3 linked regions of the Arabidopsis thaliana genome follow. The protein of the gene in region 3 purifies or fractionates together with the protein of the main gene of each other region. This does not show direct contact. Each region holds a gene or a part of one and is shown on either strand. Other genes may lie near its edges.

Region 1 (8,142 bases), on a different chromosome or scaffold from region 3:
TAGATTGTTTCTAAGTTAACGTGTGTGTAAAGGTAGATATAGAAGATATGTACTTATCTTAAATCCATTAGGAATTATCTCCTAGAATCATTATTAGTTTATATCATATCATAATTATCTAACGATTTCATGTCTGTAGTAACAAAGGAAGAAGACTAAGATGCAAACAAAAAACCACCTATTTTTGTTATCCAAAAAAACATCTTTAACATAAAACATATGAATAAACGAGAAAGCCATAAAGGTTCCAACACAAAACCAAAAAGAAAAACATAGGCAAATGCATCTCTAAACAGATAAAGACTAAACATATTTAGCCATCAAAGATCTCATCTCATGCACAACGTCAATCTTCTGCCACGTCGTTTTGAGCTCATCAGCTTGCATGGACTTCACCTTTTCTTCTATCCTCTTCCTCTTCTTCACCGGTACCAAACTCCAATTCTTCTTCCATGTCTCTTCATCAACCCCCGGACCCAATTCTTTAAACGCACCATCAACAAACGACCTCTCGAACCAATCACTTTCTTCATCAACCTTAAGCTTCTTCTTCTTTGGCTTCACAAGAGCAGTAGCATCACCATCACTTACCCAAATTATCTCAGCCAATTCGTAACACTTCTTATCATGCTCTGTAGTAGTTTTCTTGTTCTCAATATACTTTCTCTTCATAGACCGGATTTTGTTAACGAACTGATCAGTCTTCACCTCAAAGCTAATCGAATCTTTAAGTTTTTCGAAAAAGCCATTCATGTCCTCGGAAACATTCTTACCTGTATCCTTAGCAAATTTGATCATTCCTTGAAGAAAGACGATCTCGTCTTCATCAGTCCACAATCTCTGAAACAACAGTGGCTTCTTCCCCGTCTCTGTTTCAGTCTTGGCTCGTTCCTCCTCTGGTTTTCCTTCACTTTGTCTCTTCTCATTCGAAGAAGAAGGAGCAGCAGCAGCAAGAGTCATCGGCTCAGCTTCAGTGTCAGACTCACTCTCCGATCCCGACTCTGAATCGCTGGAAGGCTCATCTTCCTCCTCCTCCTCAGATGAAGTTGATGCGACGGCTTCCAACGGCTTCTTGACCGGAGATGTGACACCCGACGGTTTCTTCGCTGGAGATGCGACTCCCGACAGTTTCTTTGACGTAGATGCGACGTCAGATGACTTCTTCACCGTTGATGGAGTAACCAAAGTCTTGTTCTTGGCCATCGGAGAGAAACGAGAGAGAAATTTGGTAGGGTTTTTAAATAAAAAATTGAGAAGTTGGTCAGTTTTAAGGTTTTGCACCGAAACCATATATTGCATTTGGTTCTTTCCTTAATTACAAGTATCATAAATCTTTGACCAATTTTACGGGGTTTATGGTGTACATCTAAAATTCAAAAAGTAAATGTTAATAAATCTAATTTTGGTAACTGAATTTCCGATTGGTATTTTTAGTATATTAAAAAAATTAAAACTAAATGCTAACTAATCGAGTAATCTTTCTTTAATTGTTTAATGAGATCAATGATTCAGTTAATCAGTAATTACTAATCGAGTAATATCTTTTTTATTTAATTACAATTATCATAAATCACATTAATTGTTTTGACTAATTTTACGGGGTTTATGGTGTACATTTAAAATTCAAAAAAACTAAATGCTACTAAATCCGATTTTGGTAACTGAATACCTTCTTTTAATTTTACGGGGTTTATGGTGTATAATACTATAATCCCTCTTTTGTAAAAAAGAAGAAAGAAATTTAAACTCTATAGAGTTTGTTTTTGGAGCAAAGATGCTAGAGTTTAAATTTCTTTATATTCTTCAGAGAACTCTCTGTCCCCAAAAAGGATTACTGCTAAACCAGGACTGATTAGTTTCTCCATTCTTGAAGTTTCGACTCTGATCTCCTGCATGATACTTAGTTCCACAGCCGTTTGATCAAATACCATCGCCTCATCAGCTGAACAGAAAAGTAAAATCTTAAGAGTTGGATATCTGAAAATACGTAAGCAATTGGATGAAAAGGTTTAGTCTATACAAGAGGAGCGAATGGAGAGAATGTGGCCACGTCCGGGCACAGTGGTATAAGAGGAGCGCATGCGGCCACGTCCGGGCGCAGTGGTGGGAAAGCTTGAGTTGGCTGACGCACCAGCGGGGCAGGAAAGCACCGTTGAGGCGGTTCAAATCGATGAGACGCGAGGTCGTGGAGAAGGAGCAATCGGTTAACATCAACGACGCCATTATTTTACTAGGAAAACAGAACAGTGGTCGTGGCTTCGAGCTCAAGTTAGGGTTTAACAAAAGTAATGTAGAACAAGTGACTGTGTTTTCTTGTTTCAAATTAACCTTCGTTGAAAGGTAGTTATAAATAAAGTATAATGACGAAGAGACCGATGGGTGAGGCTGGGATATATCATAGCTGGGATAAGTTAAAACTAGTTCTGACTCAAAATACCAAGAAGAGACAAACAATGTTGAAGACAATTTATGTGACTTAAAAACTACATGTTTTGTTTCATAGAACAAAACGATAACTTTCTTTAAAGACCAAAGTAAATCATTGGCTTCAAAAAACAGAGTACGATTTGTTTGTTTCCCAAAAGGCCAGCAATCTTCTTTTTAAGTGACGTCACTGGAAGTTGTGAATCCTCTTAGCTGATGTTAAAGTGTTGGATAGAAGCATGGCTATGGTCATTGGTCCTACACCGCCAGGAACAGGTGTGATGGCTGATGCAACTTTGCTAGCCTCCTCGTAGCAAATGTCTCCAACCAATCGATATCCACGCGCAGCACTTGGATCCTGCAATTCATATTATGTACATGTATGAATGTTGCATACTGGTTGATTTGAAACTTATTATATCACTGAATTACGCCATGACCATATGTCAAAAAGAAAATTCCACTCACCTCAACAGGATTAATCCCAACATCGATGAGGACTGCGCCCGGTTTTATCCAGCTTCCTCTGACCATGTTTGGCTGTCCAACAGCTGAGATTATAATATCAGCTTCTCTTGTGATTTCTTCAGGGTTCTTGGTTCTTGAATGGATAATGCTAACGGTTGCATCCTCCCTCTACAAATACAAAACACAACAATAAAGACCAAACATGTAACTAACTTTCGAATGTCACAACCAGAAAAAACGGCATCTTAAAGAAGGTATCATCATCATTACCTGCAGTAAAAGAGCAGCTGGCATACCGACAATGTTACTCCTTCCGATAACAACCGCTCTCTTTCCTTTGATTTCAATGTTGTATCTATGCAACAACTCAATGCATCCTTTTGGAGTACAAGGAACGAATAAGGGTTCTCTTCCACGCATGGCAAGCCGTCCAATATTTAGCGGATGAAATCCGTCAACATCTTTCTCTATACTAACCGCATTCAGTATGTTCTGTTCATCCATATGCTGCAACAACATCCCAAAACACTATTGTAATTCACTGTTTATTTAAGTTCCGAAGAAAGTTATTAGACTTTGTTTACCGATGGCAGAGGCAACTGAACAAGGATTCCATGGACAGAAGGATCATCATTGAATCCTGATACAGATTTCAACACCTCTTCTTCTGATGAATCTTCAGCTAGACGAACTTCGAACGATTTGATTCCAACGGAGTCACAAGCTTTCTTCTTGTTCCTCACATAAGTTGCAGAATCTTTTCTGTCACCAACAAGGATTACTGCTAAACCAGGAATCACACCAATTGATTCCTTCATTCTTGAAACTTCAATTGTGATTTCATCTCTAATCTTTTTTGCCACAGCCTTTCCATCTATTACAATTGCGCCACCCTCTGATTTTGTATCAGCTGTACCAAAAAAAAAAAAAAAAATTTATGATTCCAACATGAGAATAAAGAAACTCAATTTTCCAGGGAAGAACAGTCTAATTGTCTACAAATTTCAATCGATGTCAAGTTCAAATTTGGTGCTCAATTAAGTCAAAAGGTTTAATCATTACCGGAAATGGAAGAAATGGGAGAAGAAGAGGAGCGAATGCAGCAGCCACGGCCAGAAGCAGTGGTCTGTAAACGGAGTTGGCCGACGCATTGACGGAGGAGGAAAGTACCGCTGCTTCGGTTCAAATGGATGAGACGCGACGTCGTGGTGGAGGAGCAATCGGTAAACATCATCGACGCCATTTTTATACAAGGAAAACAGAACAATAGTCTGCTCGTCGTGGCTGAGTTAAAAAGGAAGAAGGTAATGGTGGAGACAGGAAGACTAATGAAGTCTTTTAATTTGTGATCTAGAGCAAAGCAGAGCAGAGAAGAGACGATGAATTGAAGAAGATAACTTCGTCGTCTACGGAGAGTCGGAGAGACTAGGGTTTCTTCTTTTGATATCAACAAGGGTTTAAGTTCATTCAAATCACAAAAGAAACCGGTTTGTTGATTTCACCTGAATTTTCCGGTTTTATTATACCAGTCTTTCGTTTTCTTTTCTTTTTTAATAAATCCAATCGGACCGCTTCATATTTTTAGTAGCTTTTTAATTTGATTAGTCGTCTTAAACTCAGATTAATCATGTAATTAACACTGATCAATATATAAACAATACATGTAAGTTCGTTGACTTACGGTCTATTCTCTATTTGCGGTCTAAAGTACCACACTAGATATATATACCCTTGTGATTTAACTCGAGAGCTCCAACAATCAAAGCTAAATGTACTACAAGTGGTATCAGAGCAAGTCATGTTATTGCGATTGCCAAGATTGTTGAAGGGTGAAGCAAAGGTAGAAAGTACAGACAAATAGTGTCGGATAAATGAGGGATAGATTCACATATTAGACCCAATATGTTGAATACAAATATTATTTGCCTTTGTTTTTCCCCCAGAGGAAAGAAACTAGAGAAATTTCAACACATCATCATCCCATCAAAATTTTGAGAGTTTGTTACTTTTTCTCCGCTAAGATTCTTCAAAATAAGGATTTTGGTTTCTGTACAGTTTTAAGCAAAAGAAGTTGAAATTGTGTGGTCTTACCAGAAGCGAGAAAAAAGGTTAGATAGCGAGTGTGCCTTCAATAATCTGGTTATCGTCAGATGTTTCAGATGGTGATGGTGGTTTTGGTTTGCTCGTACTTCTTGAGAACCCGTAACCTAGAGAGCTTCCACTTGCCTCACATAGCTGTACCATCATAGGATCCATTAAACCGGAGAGTAAGAAGAATTGTAGTTTTTTAAATAGACCAAATATATACCTCAGCTAGTTCAGACAAGTGACGAGATCTGAACTCGTTGATCGTTGTTGCTATTTCTGATGTAGGTAATTTGGCCTGAAAAAGAAGCCGACAAGTTTAACAAATACCCCAAATAACATTGTTGGTGACTTAATGACTACAAGAATTATCTCTTGTACCTGTGCAAGAACAGCAGCTGCTAACTGAAGACTTGGTTCCAGCGTCTCAGGAACAACCTAACGAGTTTTTGTATCGAGATTTTAATCAGTTTACTTTGAAAATGTTGTGCAATGACAGAAGGAGAATAGAAAAGTTGTGGAAGTTATTACAGCGGTAGCGCCGGCTTTTTCAAGATTGAGACCATGATCAACGTCATGTGCACGGACAAAGGTTTTGACATTGGGGAAATATTTGCTAAGAGCCCAGACACACCTGTAATTTGCTCCAGGTGTGTCTAAAGCAATAGCCGCAGCACATGCTCTATCTGCCCCGATTTTGTGGAGTACCTGCACGTATAGGTAAAACAACGTCAATAATTTTGGATGATGTGTGGTTATACTTTTGACTTGTTTCATCAGCTTTCTACTCTTACCTCTCTACTACCAGCGTCTCCAAAATAAACTGGAAGATCTAGGGAACGACCAATTGCTACTCTATCACTGTAAAATAAGAGATTTTTGGTGCGAAATGAGACAAATAAAGAGCTGGTTAGATACATTGAGCAAGACAAGGCAAGCATGTTACATTACCTGCTGACATCGAGGGCAACAAATGGGATAAGTCTTTCAGAAAGAAGCTGAGCGATTATCTGCGTTTAACATTTAGAAAGCAGCGGTCAAAGACGAATTTAATCATATATCACCAAACTATTCTCTAAATCAAACTATCTAAACTTCTAGAGGAGTTTGTTTTCGCAACAAAGTTTATAGATAACGATACCAACCTGCCCAATTCGTCCAAATCCGCAAATAATGATGTGACCCTGTAAATCATCCGTCTGCAAGTAAATTCAGAAAGTAAAGGATCAGTCATTTTTACCCCAAGAATGCATGAGCTTCGGAAGGATATTGAGGTCAATCATGGCTTTATTGTTTTAAATTTACAATTGAAACTAGGAATGGTGATAAATGACTTATTTTAAAGTGTTGTGAAGGAGTACCTCGCTTTCAACTGGTAATAAACTTCGAACATCTTGTAACTCAAATCGAGACGCAATTAATTGGCCGCCAGCAGCTAACCAAGGAGTAAGAGCCATTGATATTCCCACGACGAGAAACAGTAATGAAGATAGCTGCGGAGTCATTATACCCTGGAAGAAATACCAATCAAGCCTTAGAGGAAACATGGGAATAAAGTAGAACTGAAACCTCAGCTGTCATATCCATAAAACATGACAATATCGTTTTCTAGTTTTCATTTAAATGACTAATTGTAAACTAATAGAACTGCTTGCATCATGATGTGAGCCTAACTTTCCAAAAAATAATAGATGGGAAGCATCAAAAACAACCCATATACTCTCCAAGAAACACTGCAGTTACTAAACCCATCGTAAAAAAGCAAAAAACAGAAATCATCATATATATAATAACCTGATTGACAGCTTCTCCAAAAGCAACAAACGCGAATTCTCCACCTGGAGCCAGAAGAAGACCGACCCTCACGGCAGATATGATTGAAATGCCAAACAATTTGCCTATGATCACCACTAATATAGTCTTGCCAACTAATAAGAGTCCTAAGGTCCCCATTATGAGAGGGAAGTTGGCGAGAAGAAGTTTTGGATCAATGGACATGCCCACCTGATTTTATGCAGCTCGTCCCATTAGTTTCATGAACGAGATAAATTGTACTTTAAGAGCTGGAAACAAAATTAGAATCTTACAAGAGCATTTAAGCAGGCCATAACACATTACATATCCTATATATTCCTTAATATCCTATTTATAATAACTTCTGACCATCTCCAAGGAAAACAGTAAACTTATCGATCAGCTATTTTCAAGACCTAGTTCACAAATTACCGTCATGAAGAAGAGTCCCAACAGAAGACCACGGTATGGAGCGATATCTGATTCAACTTGCAAGGAAAATTCAGTCTCTGCAAGTAGTAGACCAGCCAAAAACGCTCCTAATGCCATGGAAAGTCCCGCCTAATTTAAAGAAAGAAACAATTTATCTTAACGAAACAAAAGACAAAGCAAAATTACGAGAATACCAAGCACCAACACGGAAAATCAAGAACATACCCTAGCTGTAAGTAAACTAGTCCCAAGAATAACCAGAAGTGTATTGGCGGAGAATATCTCAGCATTTCGGTTTTCTGCAATTTGCTTGTATATCGGCCGCAGAAGCTGTGTGTACCAGAAAATCAATGCATTGTAAAACTATGATTCAGCACCGCAGAAGCAGCATTAGCTATAGAGTTTCATTATATGTTCATGCAAACCCATTCTATAGAAAATCTAATGTTTTCTCATCACTTATATGGATCTCTCTTTTGTTGTTTAACTTATTCGGATATGAGTCTCAAAACAGAAACTAGAAAACCATTGAGACTTACGAGACGGCCACCAGCAATTATGCCAGTGATAGCAACTGCTGCTTTGATTGCAGCTAGTCCAAGAGCTTCAGCAATGGCTTGAAATCCAATCTGAGAAAAGTAGTTAGCAACTTAGCATTCTCCTCTTACAAAATAATTTATAGGCTTCCTTGAGAAATATGCAAGACAGCAAATATTAGCAACACATGAGCATGAGTATTTCCTTAAAAGAGCAGAGGAAATATTGAACTTACGCCATCTGCCATTACATCACAATAAACACAACACAAAAGGGAAATATAAGTAAAAAAGGGAAACGTTAAAGCTAAGCTTACCCCTCCTTTGGATGAATTAGGTGAAATAAGTGGGATGAGAATCAGTAACACGACCACAGCCAGATCCTGTGAAGACCAACAGATTG
Region 2 (8,842 bases), on a different chromosome or scaffold from region 3:
GAGCAAACACAGAAGGCACAAAGAGAGAGAGAGAGAGAGAGAGAGAGCCCACACCTCAGAAAATAATGTCTGAATCCTTCTCAGCACCACCAACAAGGAAGTTACGAGCAGCGTTTATCGAAATCCCTCTCTGCATAGAGATGTCTTCAAGAACCATTTCCTCAGCAAACTCCTTAGCATTAGCTGCCTGTCGTTCGACTTCCCTCCTCTTGTATCCCTGAATCTTCTTCAACCTGAAGAAATCCTCTCTCTCAAGCTCATCAAGCTCTCCCTTGATGTAACTGATTGTATTCTCCAGCTTTGGTTTCACCACATTCTCCAGAGCGTTGACCCTACGGTTAGTCGTCTTGATTGCTTCATCAAGGGTCAAGAAAGAAGTCTGGAGAGAAGCAAGCTCAACTAGAACTTCAATGGCTTTCACATAAGCAACACGGCAAGCTCGGACCTGTTGACCACCTCTAGCTAAACCGGTCAAGTCATTCTTGGTCTCACCTTCAGAGAAGTGATCAAACTTAGGCAGCTTCACTCCAGCGATATTCTCTGTCCGAGAACGAACCTTCAAAGTAGCTTCTTTAACGTTCTCGAGGACAACATGTTTGACATTGTCACCAGCAACATACTTTACTTCGGTAAGAGCAAAAGACGATGTCTTCATCATATCTCCCATAGACTCCTTAGCTGTAACGATTTTCTTGAGAAGTGCCCTAAACTGAACAGTTAAAGCATCACTCTTTTTCTTGAGGAGAGCATGACCTCTTGTAGCGCCAACAAGACGAGCTTTCATAACCCCGAGCATAGTAACAGTGGGAACCACATTCAAACGCGCGTTTTGGCCAGCCATATTTCAAAACTACAGCAAATGAAAGAGATGGGATTAAACAAGGACACAAACAGACTTACTCTATTGACAGAAGCCAACAACAGAAGATGATTTTTCGATGATGCGAAACAATACTTGCATCATTGAGGAAAGAGATCAACATGGAAATCTCGTAAATTCTGGTTTACTAATTATAATTGAACAAACACGCAAAGATTCTTAAGTTTCACTAGGAAAATCTTAGGCTAATGAACCAAGCACCCAATCATTATCTCGAACGATCCATACAGAGATTCATCAGATTATCCATTTTTTGTTCCCAGATTGAATCAAAGTCTACGAATTTTCTAATTGAATCAAAGTCTACGACTTTAGGATAGATCGTTTCCCAGAAGATGAAATCTAGATCACAGAACACACCTAATCAATTGGACTCAGAATTGAGCAGTCAGGTTATATGGATACACGCCTAAATTTCCCACCAGATTCAATTGTTTCAAACCAAACTAAGAGAAGAAAAGAGTGAGATTTGGGATTGACATACCTGGGCCTCTCAAAAGGTGAATTCTTAACAAGTAAATCACTGAAATTAGATTGGAAGAAGCCAAAGAGAGAAAGAGAGATAGGAAGACAATGAAAATTGATATTAATTCAGAACTGTCGACAGGGGTAAGAAGATCGTATTCGACCTCGTCGCTGTGATCGTGGAGAAGAAAGAAATGGGCTAATTGTGTAATTAACCGTAAATATAAAGGGCTTATTTTTTACAAATAAAATAAATACGTATACAGCTCATCACGTATGGTGGGGCCTACTTTCGTGTCCTAAATCTGAGACCCATCACTTTCGTCTTTAGACGCGGTGAACTATATATCTCACGTTCTTATTTAGTGCTTAGGACAAAAACAAAACTCGGCCAAATACATTTTTTCATTTCCAAGTTTCAGGGATGAAATCTTGTTGTATAGAGTTTCCAAATGGTTGAGGAGAAAATAATCTCTCATTCAACACTATATTGTATGACATTTTTTTAAAAGGATATGATTTGGTGGTTAACTAATTATTCCGAATCAATGTGTGATATATAAAAAATCTTAGAACTAAAGCAATGTGTTATATTAACTAAAGAAGAATAAGAAGATCTTCTTTTAGAACTTTCCTCACAAAAGGCACAATATCTATCAAAAGTTATGTCTTAATTTCCTATACCAACTTAATTATTAGATGGAATTGATTATAGAACCACTATACTTAAGATATGTTTTAAATCATAAATTTTAAAATAACAGACAAACAAATGAAAAACAAATTCAATAGTATGTAGATTATTGAGTGTTTTAACTATAAGGAGAAAGAAAACAACACACATTGTTGAGAAGACCCTTTTGGTTTTCGTCATTATTGCTGCATATATGTTCAATTACCAATCTCATCTTGATTTGTTGTCTACTATCTTCTTACTGTTTCGGTTATATTTAATTTAGATTTGAACTGTTTTTATCACTTTATGATTATTGTTCAACATCATATTCTTAAAAACATGCTATAATACACAAATATTTTTATTTTATTTTGACAACTTATACATACATAGACACACACACATGTATTACTAACTCGAGGTCGGATGGGGTTTACCCAAACTATATTTTATATAAGCATATATATTCTTTATATATATTTGTATATTCGCTTGGCTTTCCGAGTCAAATTTCATATTAGTAGTATAGGAACGAGACTTGACCCAGCTAACGCCTTCTTGATGCATTCGAAATGGAAACTTGACCCAACTGATCCAAATCCGAATCACAGCTTGGTTCTTTCTCTCACTGTCTCGTAATGCCTTATCCCCGCTCCAGTATAGACCTGTGCCAAAAAAAACTTTTGATCTATTCAAAAACTGCATATATCCATTAAAAATTGTATTACTCATGAGCCAAAAAAAGAAGAAGGTTCAAGTCATTAATATATCCAAGAGTGTATGTATCTATGCATAATGTATAATCTCATGAGCAAAAAAGAAAACTTAATTACTCATTGATCTATCAAAAAGTGTCTTTATTAGCCATGAGCCAATGTTATCTAAACAAAGTCACTTATATATTAAAGGTGTATTTTACCTGTTGGGGTCTCATGATCTTTGTGTCAGGATCATCTAAAGACTCACGCCAGTGTGACAAGTATCCAGCGATACGTGATACTGCGGTGAATGATGATGGGATTCCCATTGCCCTGTGTTTTGGCCCATTTCAGTTACCAACAAAAAAGATTCAAATAAAGAAAGAACTCAATGGTTACAACAACTCATTAGTCAGAATTTGTTAGATAACTAATCAATGTCTTACCTATTGATTAATCCAGAGTAGAAATCAACATTTGGGTACAGCTTTCTCTTAACAAAATATTCATCAGAAAGTGCCGCCTTCTCTAGAGCATCTCCTACCTGAAAACATTATTTATACACCAAATATTTTCTTAAACCAAATTCATCATACATATGAAGGATTCAACAAGGAAACGTGAGCAACAAGAATACAGAGTACCTCAACCAGAGGATCCCTTCCAAGAATGGAGAACACTTCATCCGCCAGTTTCTTAACGACTTTTCCTCTGGGATCGTAGTTTTTGTAAATGCGGTGTCCAAAACCCGACAACCTCCTCTTCCTGGAATAAAAAGAGTTAACATTAATGGAATATTGACCATCACATTCTAGGTATACTCTCTAAGAATTGAGTTACTTATTCTTCACGCTTTCAATGAACTCTGGAATATTTTCAACAGTCCCAATCTCTGATAACATGTTAATCGTAGCCTCAACTGCACCACCATGAAGGGGACCATAAATGGCTCCAACACCTCCCGAAACAGCAGTATACACATCACCACCACTACATAAACAGAGGATTTATGTGCTGATTAAAAAGTATCTCATAGCAGACTCAAATGAATCTCTAACCAATGATAAGTAGTACCTAGAGGAAAGGTGCCTAGCAGCAGCAGTAGAGCAGTTCATTTCATGTTCAGCTTGCAGTATGAAGAGGATGTCCAGCACTCGAGCCAAACGAGGATTAGGCTTGTAAGACCTATCTCCCCTGTAATCAATGGAAGATGAGACTAAACAAGTGCACAGTTTTATGGCTACCATCTCCAAATCAAACAAAGAGGGACAATAACGTACATTGATTCCACCATATAGAGGAAATTCTCTGAATAAGAAAGGTTGCTCAAAGGTTGAACAGGAGGCTTGCCTGCCTTCCTCAAATAAGCAGCTGCTGCAATTGTTGGGGCCTGCAGACACGTTATATTATAATTCATAGTCCGGTTATACATTGAGGCACCAAATCACACAGACAGAACAATACCTGTCCAAGAACACGAACAATCTGTTTATCACGAACTTGTTTTGACTTGTAAACACCTAGGCCCTGCACCAAATGGGGATTTCCATGTCGGCGTGGAAATTTTCAGAAGAAAGCAGGATTATAAAAACGTAACTTACCATAAGAGACGGATTTGCATCAGGATAAAAGATGGAAAGTGCACTCATTGCAGTGACAAGAGCTCCTACTGGATGTACATCATTAGGCATGGACTGTATCATATCCTGTGAAAACATTCAGATAAATCATCTCACCTCGAAGATCTAGAGAAAGTTAGGAAAGAGTAGAAGAAACTCACCAATACTCCTTGTGGCACAGCTGAATTCTGAGAAATCGCAAACTCCCAATCAGCTAGCTGTCTTTGAGAAGGCAGATTCCCATAAACTGCATGCAAAAACAAAAAAAGCAGTAGTAAACTAGAGCACTAAGGGAGACAAAATTTTAAAGAAATACCCACACAAAAGCAAGACTATGAGCTATACAAGATGATCAAGATGATCATAATTAAGCAACAACAATGAGCTATACAAGATGATCAAGACTTACTTAGGAGATAAGTAACCTCTGTATAAGTACTTTTCTCAGCCAACTCCTCAACTGGGTATCCCCGATAACGTAGGATTCCCTCATCTCCATCGATGTAAGAAATCGAAGATCGAACAGGAGCCGTGTTTAAGTAACCAGGATCGTATAAGTTAAGCCCCTTGTCATCCTTCCCTGTCGTTATCTTCACACCAAACATGAAAATCCATTTATACACACTCACACAATATACAAAAAACAATCTATTCGTAGTACTAATGGCCACAATGAAGAAATAACTTCAGCATAAAAACTCATTATATATACCTTCTTGAGATCAACGGTTTTAACGGTACCATGCTCTGAGACTGGGACCTGATATTCATTCCCCGTACGCTCATCGACGATCTTCAAATTTCCTTTAAGCGATCCATGCGGTGCAGCGGTTATGTGAGCCGATGTGCACCATGGTTCGATCGCTGGCAACACCTGATTCGGCTCAGATACTGTCAAGTGCGCATTGAGAACGGCTAATCGAGCTCTAGCTCTCTCCGAAATCTCCATTTGTCACCTCAAAAAGATCACAATTCAAGAAAGGGAAGCGAATAAGAAACCAAGTGGCTGTTGTAGTTCAAAGTGATATATAGGCATGCATGGTTTTATAGTGGGGAAATTTGATAATTTCATTACGTAACACTTTTGTCTTAATACTTTTGTGGGTATGATTGGCGTGAATCTACAGTGTCTTCTTTGTCTTCAATCAGAGTTTTGTGGCTTTTAACCAATTTTAAGTATGTGTCTCTGCGACAGTTATGTATTGTTTTGGTTGCTTCTTACTTCTTTCTGTTAATCAGTGTCAGGTACTCCAGGGTTTGTTATTTAACGTCACTTTTCTTTTATATTTGTTCACACTTCTCACAATTGTTCTCATTTGAAATGGAAATATTATTGGCAATAATGCAAAATGATAGGAAACTTTCAGGCAAATTATAAATACCGTACAAAAAAATATGATATGATGTTCAATGAGTGGTTAGCTTATTGTTATCACTTGGAATCTGCATAACATATTCACCCTAAAAATAACATTCAGTTAATCCTAAATGATATGATTTGGTGGTTGACATTTTCCAAACCAATGTGTTAGACATGTCTTCAGAAATTAACATTAACAGGAATAAAAGCGCAATTTATCAAAAGTACATGTCGTTCCCTATAACAAGATTATTATTATTAAATCATAACATTTTAAAATAACAGACAAACAATAAGAATAGGGTTGTATTATTAAGTGTTTAAGAATAAGAGAAAGAAAACAACACATGTTGTTGAGAAGACTCTCTTGTTTTCCCAGAGGTATCCCAATGTTTTCTTCTTTATTGGTGAGTATTAGGATTGAGACTAAAGGGCAGATGATCCAGCTAAACGCCTTCTTGATGCATTCGAAATGGAAACTTGACCAAACTTATCCTTATCCGAATCACTTGATAACGTTCGTTCTCTCACTGGCTCGTAATGCCTCATCCACACTCCAGTATAGGCCTATATGCAGCCACACAATTCAGTTAGCTCAAACTATAAACCTTTTGATCTATCAAACAAGTTATGTATTTTACCTGTTGGGGTCTCATGATCCTAGTGTCAGGATCATCTAACGACTCACGCCAGTGTGACAAGTATCCAGCCATACGCGGGACTGCGAACAGGACTGTGAAGAATTCTGGTGGGAATCCCATTGCCCTGTGTTTTTCCCCCATTTCAATTACCAACACAAGGTTCAGGTAAAGAACTTAATGGTTACAGGGTCTATGTCAGATGAATCAGCAATGTCTTACCTATAGATTAATCCAGAGTAGAAATCAACATTTGGGTACAGCTTTCTCTTAACAAAATATTCATCAGACAGTGCCGCCTTCTCTAGAGCAACTGCTACCTGAAAACATCATCCGTCAAAACAAAATTTAACCCACAGTCATGTTATATAAGAATTTTTTTGACAACCAAATACTAGGAGAGATACGTGAGCACAAGGATCTACAGTACCTCGATGAGAGGATCCCTACCAACAATGGAGAACACTTCATCTGCCAGTTTTTTTATAACTTTTGCTCGGGGGTCATAGTTTTTGTAAACACGATGTCCAAAACCTGACATCTTCCTCTTTCTGAGAACATAGAAAAGGGATATAACATTACCGGCATGACTCACCACAATTCAGAGTACTTGGTGCTTGTAGTTATTAAGCATTGAGTTACCTGTTCTTCACGCCTTCAATGAAATCTGGAATATTTTCAGCAGTCCCAATCTCTGCTAACATCTTAAGCACGGCCTCGTTCGCGCCACCATGAAGTGGACCATAAAGCGCCCCAACAGCTCCAGCACATGCGGTGTACACATCAACACCACTGCAGAAACACAATACTGATTTAAACACTCAAAGAAGTCTAAATGAATATCTCTAATCAGTGATAACTGATAAGTACCTAGAGGCAAGATGCCGAGCAGCAGCAGTAGAGCAGTTCATTTCATGTTCAGCATGCAGTATGAAGAGGATGTCCAGCACTCGAGCCAAACGAGGATTAGGCTTGTAAGACCTATTGCCCCTGTAATCAATTGAAGATTAAAGAATGTATCCTGTGTTACAGACACGTTTGAAGCTTGAAACAGATTTAAACTGACTAAAGAAACACAGTTTTTCTGACTACCCTTTTAAAATGCAAGTGTTAAATCAAATAAAGACAGAAGAAAGAGGGGAAAGTACATTGAATCCAGCATATAGAGGAAATTCTCTGAATAAGAAAGGTTGGCCGAAGGAAGAACAGGAGGCCTGCCTGCCGTCCTCAAATAAGCAGCTGCTGCAATTGTTGGTGCCTGCAAACACGTTGTAAACCCTTTTTCTAGTCCCGCAACTTATACACAGATACGTTAAGGAAACAAATCATCAACAGATAGAACAATACCTTTCCGAGAATGCGAACAATCTGTTTATCACGAACTTGTTTTGACTTGTAAATGTCTTGGCCCTGCACCCAATGAAAGAAAATCGAGTTGGCATAGCCATTTTCAGAAAAAGGCATCTTGACAGTACGAAAAGAACAGGATTTCAAAACTTACACTAAGAGCAGGATTTGCATCAGGGTGAAAGATAGAAAGTGCACTCATGGCACTCACAAGAACTCCCATTGGGTGTGCATCATGAGGCATGGACTGTATGATATCCTGCAAAAACATTCAGAAATCGTCTCAGATCAAAAATCCATAGAAAATTCTTTTACTAAGCATATACACATAACTATATTCACAACGGCGAGTAAGACATAAGGTACTAATACTAGAAAGAGATCCAGTATCCTTAATAGACATGGTTTACAAGCAAGACAAACAACTTGTACACTTGACAAGAAATCATTTTCAAAATCCCTCTTTGGTTTGGATTTGCATTCTGATACAAAGTTTGGAATTTGCACTAGTATGAAAATCCAAATAACGAAAGAGTAGAAATTTCACCAATACTCCTTGTGGCACAGCTGAATGCTGAGAAACAGTGAACTCCCAATCAGCTAGCTGACTTTGAGAAGGCAGATTTCCATACACTGGAGACAAAAAAAGGGGAATTTTAACACGACACTAAGAGAGACACAATTTTCAAGACATTTTCTTTTCCACAAGTAGACGCCACAAAAGTAAAATAAGCAACAACAACAACAAGAATAAGCAACGAGATTGATAAAGACTTACTGAGGAGATAAGCAACCTCAATAAAAGTACTGCTCTCAGCCAACTCTTCAATTGGGTATCCCCGATAACGTAAGATTCCTTCATCTCCGTCGATGTAACAAATCGAAGATCGAACCGGAGCCGTGTTCAAGTAACCAGGATCGTACAACTTCAGCCCCTTATCATCCTTCCCCGTCGTTATCTGCACACCAAACATGCAAATCCATCAAATTCCTTATCATATTCAGGGAAAATTAGGTGAGACGAATCAAAATTCAGATAAAACTAACTCGATTCCACAATTCTGTTCAGGATTACAAATCCGTTACATACCTTCTTGAGATCAACGGCTTTAACGGTACCATGCTCTGAGACAGGGACCTGATATTTCTTCCCCGTACG
Region 3 (7,222 bases):
CTGCTTCATCGATTCTTATTCTTGTTCAGATAAAGTAAATGTCATGGTTTTGCGTCTCCATGTTAATCCACAGTTGTTATAGTAGTATCCATTAGGGTTTAGAATTAGTCAGTCTTGTTTCTCTCTTTGAAAGCCTTGATATTTAATCCAACCAAACATAGGACAAGAAAGTTTGAGTACAGTTTGTGAAATGTTGAATCTTATAATGGTGAATCTTGTTGTGCGTTTCAGGCAGAGAAAGAGCCTATTTTGAGTAGCTTCTTGTATGCTGGTATCTTAGCACATGATTGTTTAGAGCAAGCTTTAGGGTTTGTTCTAGCCAACCGTCTCCAAAACCCAACCTTGTTGGCAACACAACTCTTGGATATATTTTATGGTGTTATGATGCATGACAAAGGTATTCAGAGTTCGATTCGCCATGATCTCCAGGTAAAACATTCCACCTAATACTGTAAAAAGACATGATCTTTGTTGTTTTCTTATGTATCTCAATGATTTGCAGGCATTTAAAGATCGTGATCCTGCTTGTCTGTCGTATAGTTCTGCTATTTTACATCTGAAGGTAATTCTTTACTCGAAGTTGAGAGACAGAACATTTCTCACATGGAATGAGTGACTTATGAAGAGTTTTCCCACTTGCATTTCAGGGTTATCATGCGTTACAAGCATATAGGGTTGCGCATAAACTGTGGAATGAAGGGAGGAAACTATTAGCTCTTGCATTGCAAAGCCGAATAAGCGAGGTAGTTGGTGATCATTGTCTTTTGGTTGAGTCTTGCTGGAGCTGCATTTTTGAGCTCAATGTCTGATCTATGCTGTGGTTTCTCTCAGGTTTTTGGCATTGACATACATCCAGGTAGAGTTTTGAGCTTCATATCTCTGCTCTCATCTGTTTGAACATTCTCAGTTTCCCTTCTCTGTTGTAATAGTTGATCAGGTTTACCGGTGAATTGATTGCTGGTTATACATATTACTTGAATTCTCTTTCTGCATAGCGGCAAGAATTGGGGAGGGAATATTGTTGGATCATGGAACTGGAGTGGTCATTGGTGAGACCGCTGTGATAGGCAACGGTGTCTCGATCTTACATGTAAGCGTCTCTTCTCCAAACCATTGCCTGTAAATTCAATACCGAGATCATGATTTTCCTTTCAGTTTTTCAAGGCTACTTGAGTTTTCACTGTCACAGGGTGTGACTTTAGGAGGAACCGGAAAGGAAACTGGCGATCGCCACCCAAAGATAGGTGAAGGTGCATTGCTTGGAGCTTGTGTGACTATACTTGGTAACATAAGCATAGGTGCTGGAGCAATGGTAGCTGCAGGTTCACTTGTGTTAAAAGACGTTCCTTCGCATAGGTATAAAAGAGAAAATTCATCTGACAAATCTTCATGACCTGGCACTGTTTTGTTTAGTTAACAAACCCTCTTTGTATTTTCGAAGTGTGGTGGCTGGAAATCCTGCAAAACTGATCAGGGTCATGGAAGAGCAAGACCCGTCTCTAGCAATGAAACACGGTGAGTTTGCAGATTCTTATATACTTCTGGCTCTGTGTATATGTCTCGCTCGGGATTTAGTAGTGACTGTTCTTGAACGAATATGCAGATGCTACTAAAGAGTTCTTTCGACATGTAGCTGATGGTTACAAAGGGGCACAATCTAACGGTAACTTGCACACTCACAATGAACTCTGCTATGAAGAATCTGAAATTACAGTTTTACTGAAAGATCTGAATCTGAATTACCTATTTACGTGTCTTGAAAACAGGACCATCACTTTCAGCAGGAGATACAGAGAAAGGACACACTAACAGCACATCATGAGATCTTTGTATGCAAATTTCTTACCATCATAAGCTAATTCTTGTATGCTCTTGCTTATCATCATAAGCTAATCTCAGCATTTCCTCAATAAGTTGTCTAATAAAAGATTTTGTTCACTGGAAGTTTTCAGTCTCAACTCAAAAGTCTCAGACAAACATAAAAGTGTAAATGATTCTTGCTTGAAAATGAAATCTATTATCTCAAATTATTATTACTGAAAAAATTCCGCAGACAATCGCAATTCAAGTACCGGAAGAAGGAACGAAAACTCAAAATCATAAGCATCAAAGCTTACATAATAAACAACAAGATGACTAGAAAACAAAAAAGAATCAAGCATGCCTTGCCTGAAAATCTTTCATGAAAGCAACAAGCTTTTCGACACCAGCCAATGGCATCGCATTGTAAATAGAAGCTCTCATACCTCCCACTGATCTATGTCCCTTAAGCTGCACCATCTTCTCCTTAGCAGCTTCTTTAATAAACTCAGCTTCCAACTCCGATTTCTCCAACGTAAAAGGAACATTCATCAAAGACCTCACAGACTTCTCAACAGGACACCTGAAAAACCCTCTACTCTCATCAATCGCATTGTACAACAACTCAGCTTTCCTCTGGTTCTTCTTCTCCACTTCCTTCAAACCACCTTGCTCCAACAAATCATCAAACACAAGACCACACATATAAATCCCGAAACACGGTGGCGTGTTATACAACGAGCTGTTCTCATCATGAATCTTGTAATCAAGCATCACCGGAGTTATATCTCTAGCATTCCCAATCAAATCCTTTCGAATGATCACAATGGTGACACCAGAAGGACCAACATTCTTCTGAGCACCAGCGTAAATCACACCGAACTTCGATACATCCACCGGCTTAGAACAGAAATTCGAAGACATATCAGCAATAAGAACACCATCAGGGTTTTCAACAAGAGGATAATCTTTAAATTCAACACCATGAATAGTCTCATTGGCGCATATATGCAAATACTTGGCGTCCGAACTCTGCTCCAATCCATCAAAGGTTGGAACTTTAGTATATTTCTCAGATTTACCAGACCAAATCACTTTAGGGTTACAATATTTCTTAGCTTCCTTAAAAGCTTTATCTCCCCAAGATCCAGTAACAATGTAATCAACGGAATCATCAGATTTACAGAGATTGAGAGGTAAAGCAGCGAATTGAGTAGTGGCACCACCTTGTAAGAACAAAACGGAATATTCCGATGGAATCTCGAGAAGCTGACGGAGATCAGATTCAGCTTTTTGAATGATTGAGAGAAACTCTTTACCGCGATGACTCATCTCCATAACACTCATACCAGATCCACGCCAGTTATAGAGATCTGATTGAGCTTTGAGGAGGACGTTTTCCGGTAATGCGGCTGGACCTGCGGCGAAATTGATGACTCGCTGCTCGGATCCGACGGTGGTTGAAGCGGAAGCGCATCGGATTGAAACGGATTTGGTTCGGGTGGTGAGGTTGATGGTGTTGGGTTTAGTGAAGTGGATAAAGGATTGGGATATTGATTTGGGTTTCAAAGAAGGGATTTGGGTTTGGTTTCCGATGAGGAATGAGTTCGTTGACGCCGCCATTATCGTTGATCTTGAGGAAAAAACAAAAAGTATCTGAAGTTTAGTGAAGTGTGAAGAAGGAGTTGGTGGGAGAGAGATCTAAAGAGAAGTCAAAGTGAAAACAACGAAAACGACGTTGTTTTTGTATTTAGCTCAAATAAGATACAAAATACATTTCATTCTGAACAAAGAATGAAATGATTCAATCATTTATCATTCATTGTAGAGTTTAATACTGACAAGTGAAGTGAACAAAGAGTAACAACAAAAAAACAGAATCAATCATAAGACAAATTTAATTGGCTTTTTTTTTTGTTTCTTCTTATTTGTGCTACAGAGTGAATGAGGGAACTATGTCAGGAAGCTGTACAAACTACTTACTACTGTCCTTTTGGATTAAGAATGATGAGACTCAGACACTAGAAAGTGTGCAGCTTCACATTTTGCTATGTAACCAAATTTGCTTGTGCTGTACTTCCTATATACTCCTGTTAAGTTTCCTGTCGCCGCCCTCTGATGCAGACTCACCAGCTTCCGTGAACATTCCCTGCGAAACCCGCGATTACAATTAAAAAGATCAGTCTTTTTTCCTGCAAATAGTTTTGTTTATGGACTTAAAGGACCATTCTTGGTAAAAAGAGAGAGACTTACATGAGCTGGTCTTCAGAGTAATGACAATGGAATTCACATGTACTGTTCCATTTCCTGGAACCATCAAGTGTACATTGAGCAGTGTACACAGATGTGGCAGCTAGTAATGATGGTGGAAACCGAAGCATCTCGTACTCCACAAGGGCAAGCTCGATCAAGAACGACGCCAAGACCTCACACTGTTTTGTTTTCAGTTTCACAGTTAGTTCCTTTCTAAAATTCAAACTTCTAGTTAAACTGATTCATAAGTCCATTATTTTTAACTAACCTTCTTGTCTGCTTGAGCTGCCTTGAGGAATCTTTTCAAGAACGGGTATTGTGTCGGTAACGAGATATTGAATTGCAAAGTACTCAACATTGTTTTCTCCTGTAAAGAAGAAAGAAATCATTTAATCAAAGAATGTCTTTAACATATATGAGACAAGATTACTTTTTCTATTAAGTAAAGAAGCCAGGCCTTTACCATCTCTAGAACATCGTTCCTCGTATACGCTTTGTCCGAAATGAGTACTAAATCTTCGACAACAGGAACCGAAACCTCCTCATACTTACAAGCTAACAGCAAAGCTACTAACCCTACAAGCTGAAGCTTCTTTCTCATAACATTTTGCTTGGACAAGAATCTATCTATCAGATTCACTGTCAGAAACAGTGTCTCGTTTATCAGATCAAACTTGTCATGTACCTGAAAACGTACTCAAGCATCTTTAGCCTCTATCAAACTACACAGTACAATGTGGAATGTTGTTGATAATATACCTCGATTAACCAGTCGATTAGTATTGCTCTCATCTTCTCGTTTAAGTCGATTTGTTGCATCATATAGTCTACTGGAACACAACTAAATCTCTGCAAATTCAAATCAAGAACTGTCTTAAAGAAGCTCTCAAGCCACTTATTACTTCAAAAACAGATAAAACTAAACCATAATTTACCTCCATTGTTCTGTAAAATGCGTAAAGATCTTGAACATATTCAACAGCCGCAAGCGAGTTCTTCGAGTCTAAGACATCGATATCCACGATCGGTTCTTCCACTGTTACATCCTCCATCTCAACTTCTTCCTATCCAATCAAAATTTTCTTGTAAATCATTGATTTATGAATTAAATCCATCAACAAAATTCTGAATTCTGTTTTGTTGTTGTTACCATTGGATCAGCTTCAATGTATGGTTTCTCAAGCGACATTGGCATTGGAAGGTCCAATGTAGCTTCCTCCTCATCAATAAATATACAATCACCGAAGTCGTTAGCACTTGGAACTGAGGGCTTCAGCTTCTTGTTAGTCTCTTCCTCAACTCCAGATCTGCAGATTCAAAAACAAACTCAGATCTTTCTTTCTTTAAAGTCAAAAAACGAAATGAAAGATTCAAGCTTTATGTACCTTGTAACTGAAGGACGCAAAGAATCAAACTTCTTCTTTTGACATCCTTCTTCTTCTTCTTGCTTACTGATTCAAATCAATCAAAACCCATAAGCACAATCAGATTGAAAAAAAACACTAACTTGTGAGAGATTAGAGATTTTGTTAAATTTACTTAGACAATAAGCTTCCTCTCTTGTTGACAACACAAGGATAAACTCTTGCACCAGCGAGATTCTGGTTAATCACACGCAACACTCTTCTCTTCTCCCTCTTCATCTCTTGTCCGAATTTTCTACTTCTTGTTTCATCTAAACAAAACCAGAAAAGAACACAACACATTCTGTCAGAATTCTCCTACGCAAACTGTAAAACACCTCGAAATTCTCGTATATTACTCGACAAATTCATCTACTACCTTGAAGAATCGTCGTTGAAGTGGGTTTAACGAAGATTTTGTTCTCGCATGAGTTAACCATTTTTTTTTTTGGTTTGTGATTATTACAAGAGAAACCCACAAAGAGAGTAGAAGAAGAAGAGCATTAAACGAAGAGAATCTGAAGAAGGGGATGAAATAAGCAAAAGAGGAAGATACAAACAAAATAAAAAAAAGTGTTGAGTTTTTAATTTTAAAAAAGGAACGGCTAGGATTAGAATTTAGAATATAACCGTTGGATCATGAGGGAACGATTTACTTCTAAGTTTGGTTCATATTCAGACAACGGTAACTTTGGTTCAAGGCATGTGGCTTTCGTCGTATTTCAAAAAAATTATTATTCTTTTTTGTTATTTTGGTGGCTTAACCTTTTTTTTTAAGACACAATTGTACGCTCCATAGGCGCGCCTCTAACAAACTTTTTGATTAAAACTTTATGTTTTATCTTAATCAACAATCTTAGGTTATTAATTAATCACATTTACAGAGCTAGTCATGCTTTTTAGTCTATCTTATTCTTAAGAGAAAGTTTCAATATGAGACAGACAAGATTCTGTACTGAGAATTATGCTGGCCCGTGGGAGTTATTGTTTCCGATTTGAAATTTATTTTGTAGGTGGATATTTACTAAAGTATTTGGAATTTTGCTGGCCTGTCAGAGTGTTTATTTGGAATTTAGAATTAGAGCTTACATTTCAGGATTTAGAATTTAAATATAAACATAAATTGGCTATTGGCAATGAAGAATATCAATAATGGTTTGAACACATTAATGTTTCTAGCTTTGACAGATAAAAAAAATGTTCTAAAAAAGTTATGGAAGTTTTCGAAAGATTATGTAACAATTAATTTACGGATCAATTATGAATAAAGCACTTAAAAGTATATGTCGTTGTTGATACATGCACAAAATCATGTGTCTATGCAATTATGTACTTCTCTCTCTTGTATTGACGATTTTACTCTTCGTATTATTAGCAATTAATTTGTTTTTCTCGTCTATGTTGTCCTCTTCTTCTTCTACACAACCTTTCCCATAATTCAATCAAAGAAACAATTAAATTACCCATCAACATGTGTGTAGATTTTATTAAATCTTTGATTCTCTTTGTTTGTCTTCCTTGTTAAACATGTAATTGAAAAGGTTGATTCAATTGAATTCTCAAATATGTAACTGATTTAATATGTGTATAAGATTGAAACATTTGGGTTCCCTATATATATCATCCTCTTAGGGTTTATATTTCTTTTAGCAACATGCATATAATTGGATTTATTGGGTTCAAAAGGTATAGAAGAAGGAAGAAGATCAATGAAGGTTTTGGAAGAAACAGAAAAAAAATCCAAAATCGACGTCACAGAAGGAAGA

What was found. Proteins that work in one complex are often made in the same cells at the same time.
Region 1: the proteins of AT2G17630 (region 3) and EMB3127 fractionate together in Arabidopsis thaliana (co-fractionation; one large-scale study listed by BioGRID). This does not show direct contact.
Region 2: the proteins of AT2G17630 (region 3) and CSY1 fractionate together in Arabidopsis thaliana (co-fractionation; one large-scale study listed by BioGRID). This does not show direct contact.

Annotation. Positions count from the first base shown.
Region 1 is NC_003075.7:256,654-264,795, forward strand, and holds EMB3127 (Amino acid dehydrogenase family protein), read right to left. Parts: upstream 4,637-8,142; 5' UTR 4,136-4,636; coding exon 3,955-4,135; intron 3,803-3,954; coding exon 3,477-3,802; intron 3,400-3,476; coding exon 3,163-3,399; intron 3,061-3,162; coding exon 2,893-3,060; intron 2,783-2,892; coding exon 2,612-2,782; 3' UTR 2,334-2,611; downstream 1-2,333. Other genes in the region: AT4G00610 (DNA-binding storekeeper protein-related transcriptional regulator), read right to left, coding at 304-1,290; KEA2 (K+ efflux antiporter 2), read right to left, coding at 5,002-5,127, 5,201-5,275, 5,359-5,415, 5,509-5,685, 5,772-5,838, 5,929-5,987, 6,123-6,176, 6,339-6,488 and 5 more. UniProt on the Arabidopsis thaliana protein: Catalyzes the oxidation of 5,10-methylenetetrahydrofolate to 5,10-methenyltetrahydrofolate and then the hydrolysis of 5,10-methenyltetrahydrofolate to 10-formyltetrahydrofolate.
Region 2 is NC_003074.8:21,718,440-21,727,281, forward strand, and holds CSY1 (citrate synthase 1), read right to left. Parts: upstream 5,352-8,842; 5' UTR 5,288-5,351; coding exon 5,051-5,287; intron 4,929-5,050; coding exon 4,748-4,928; intron 4,586-4,747; coding exon 4,500-4,585; intron 4,426-4,499; coding exon 4,321-4,425; intron 4,247-4,320; coding exon 4,184-4,246; intron 4,110-4,183; coding exon 4,000-4,109; intron 3,914-3,999; coding exon 3,794-3,913; intron 3,710-3,793; coding exon 3,560-3,709; intron 3,485-3,559; coding exon 3,364-3,484; intron 3,264-3,363; coding exon 3,166-3,263; intron 3,053-3,165; coding exon 2,941-3,052; intron 2,687-2,940; coding exon 2,627-2,686; 3' UTR 2,334-2,626; downstream 1-2,333. Other genes in the region: AT3G58730 (vacuolar ATP synthase subunit D (VATD) / V-ATPase D subunit / vacuolar proton pump D subunit (VATPD)), read right to left, coding at 56-841; CSY2 (citrate synthase 2), read right to left, coding at 6,125-6,265, 6,340-6,463, 6,559-6,656, 6,767-6,887, 6,979-7,128, 7,207-7,326, 7,485-7,594, 7,684-7,746 and 4 more.
Region 3 is NC_003071.7:7,662,838-7,670,059, reverse strand, and holds AT2G17630 (Pyridoxal phosphate (PLP)-dependent transferases superfamily protein), read right to left. Parts: upstream 3,513-7,222; 5' UTR 3,424-3,512; coding exon 2,155-3,423; 3' UTR 1,995-2,154; downstream 1-1,994. Other genes in the region: ATSERAT3;1 (Trimeric LpxA-like enzymes superfamily protein), read left to right, coding at 232-429, 503-562, 648-743, 832-856, 996-1,090, 1,190-1,356, 1,442-1,515, 1,604-1,663 and 1 more; CYCB2;1 (Cyclin B2;1), read right to left, coding at 3,799-3,949, 4,054-4,232, 4,322-4,420, 4,517-4,738, 4,813-4,902, 4,989-5,117, 5,204-5,360, 5,439-5,504 and 2 more. UniProt on the Arabidopsis thaliana protein: Involved in the plastidial phosphorylated pathway of serine biosynthesis (PPSB). Catalyzes the reversible conversion of 3-phosphohydroxypyruvate to phosphoserine.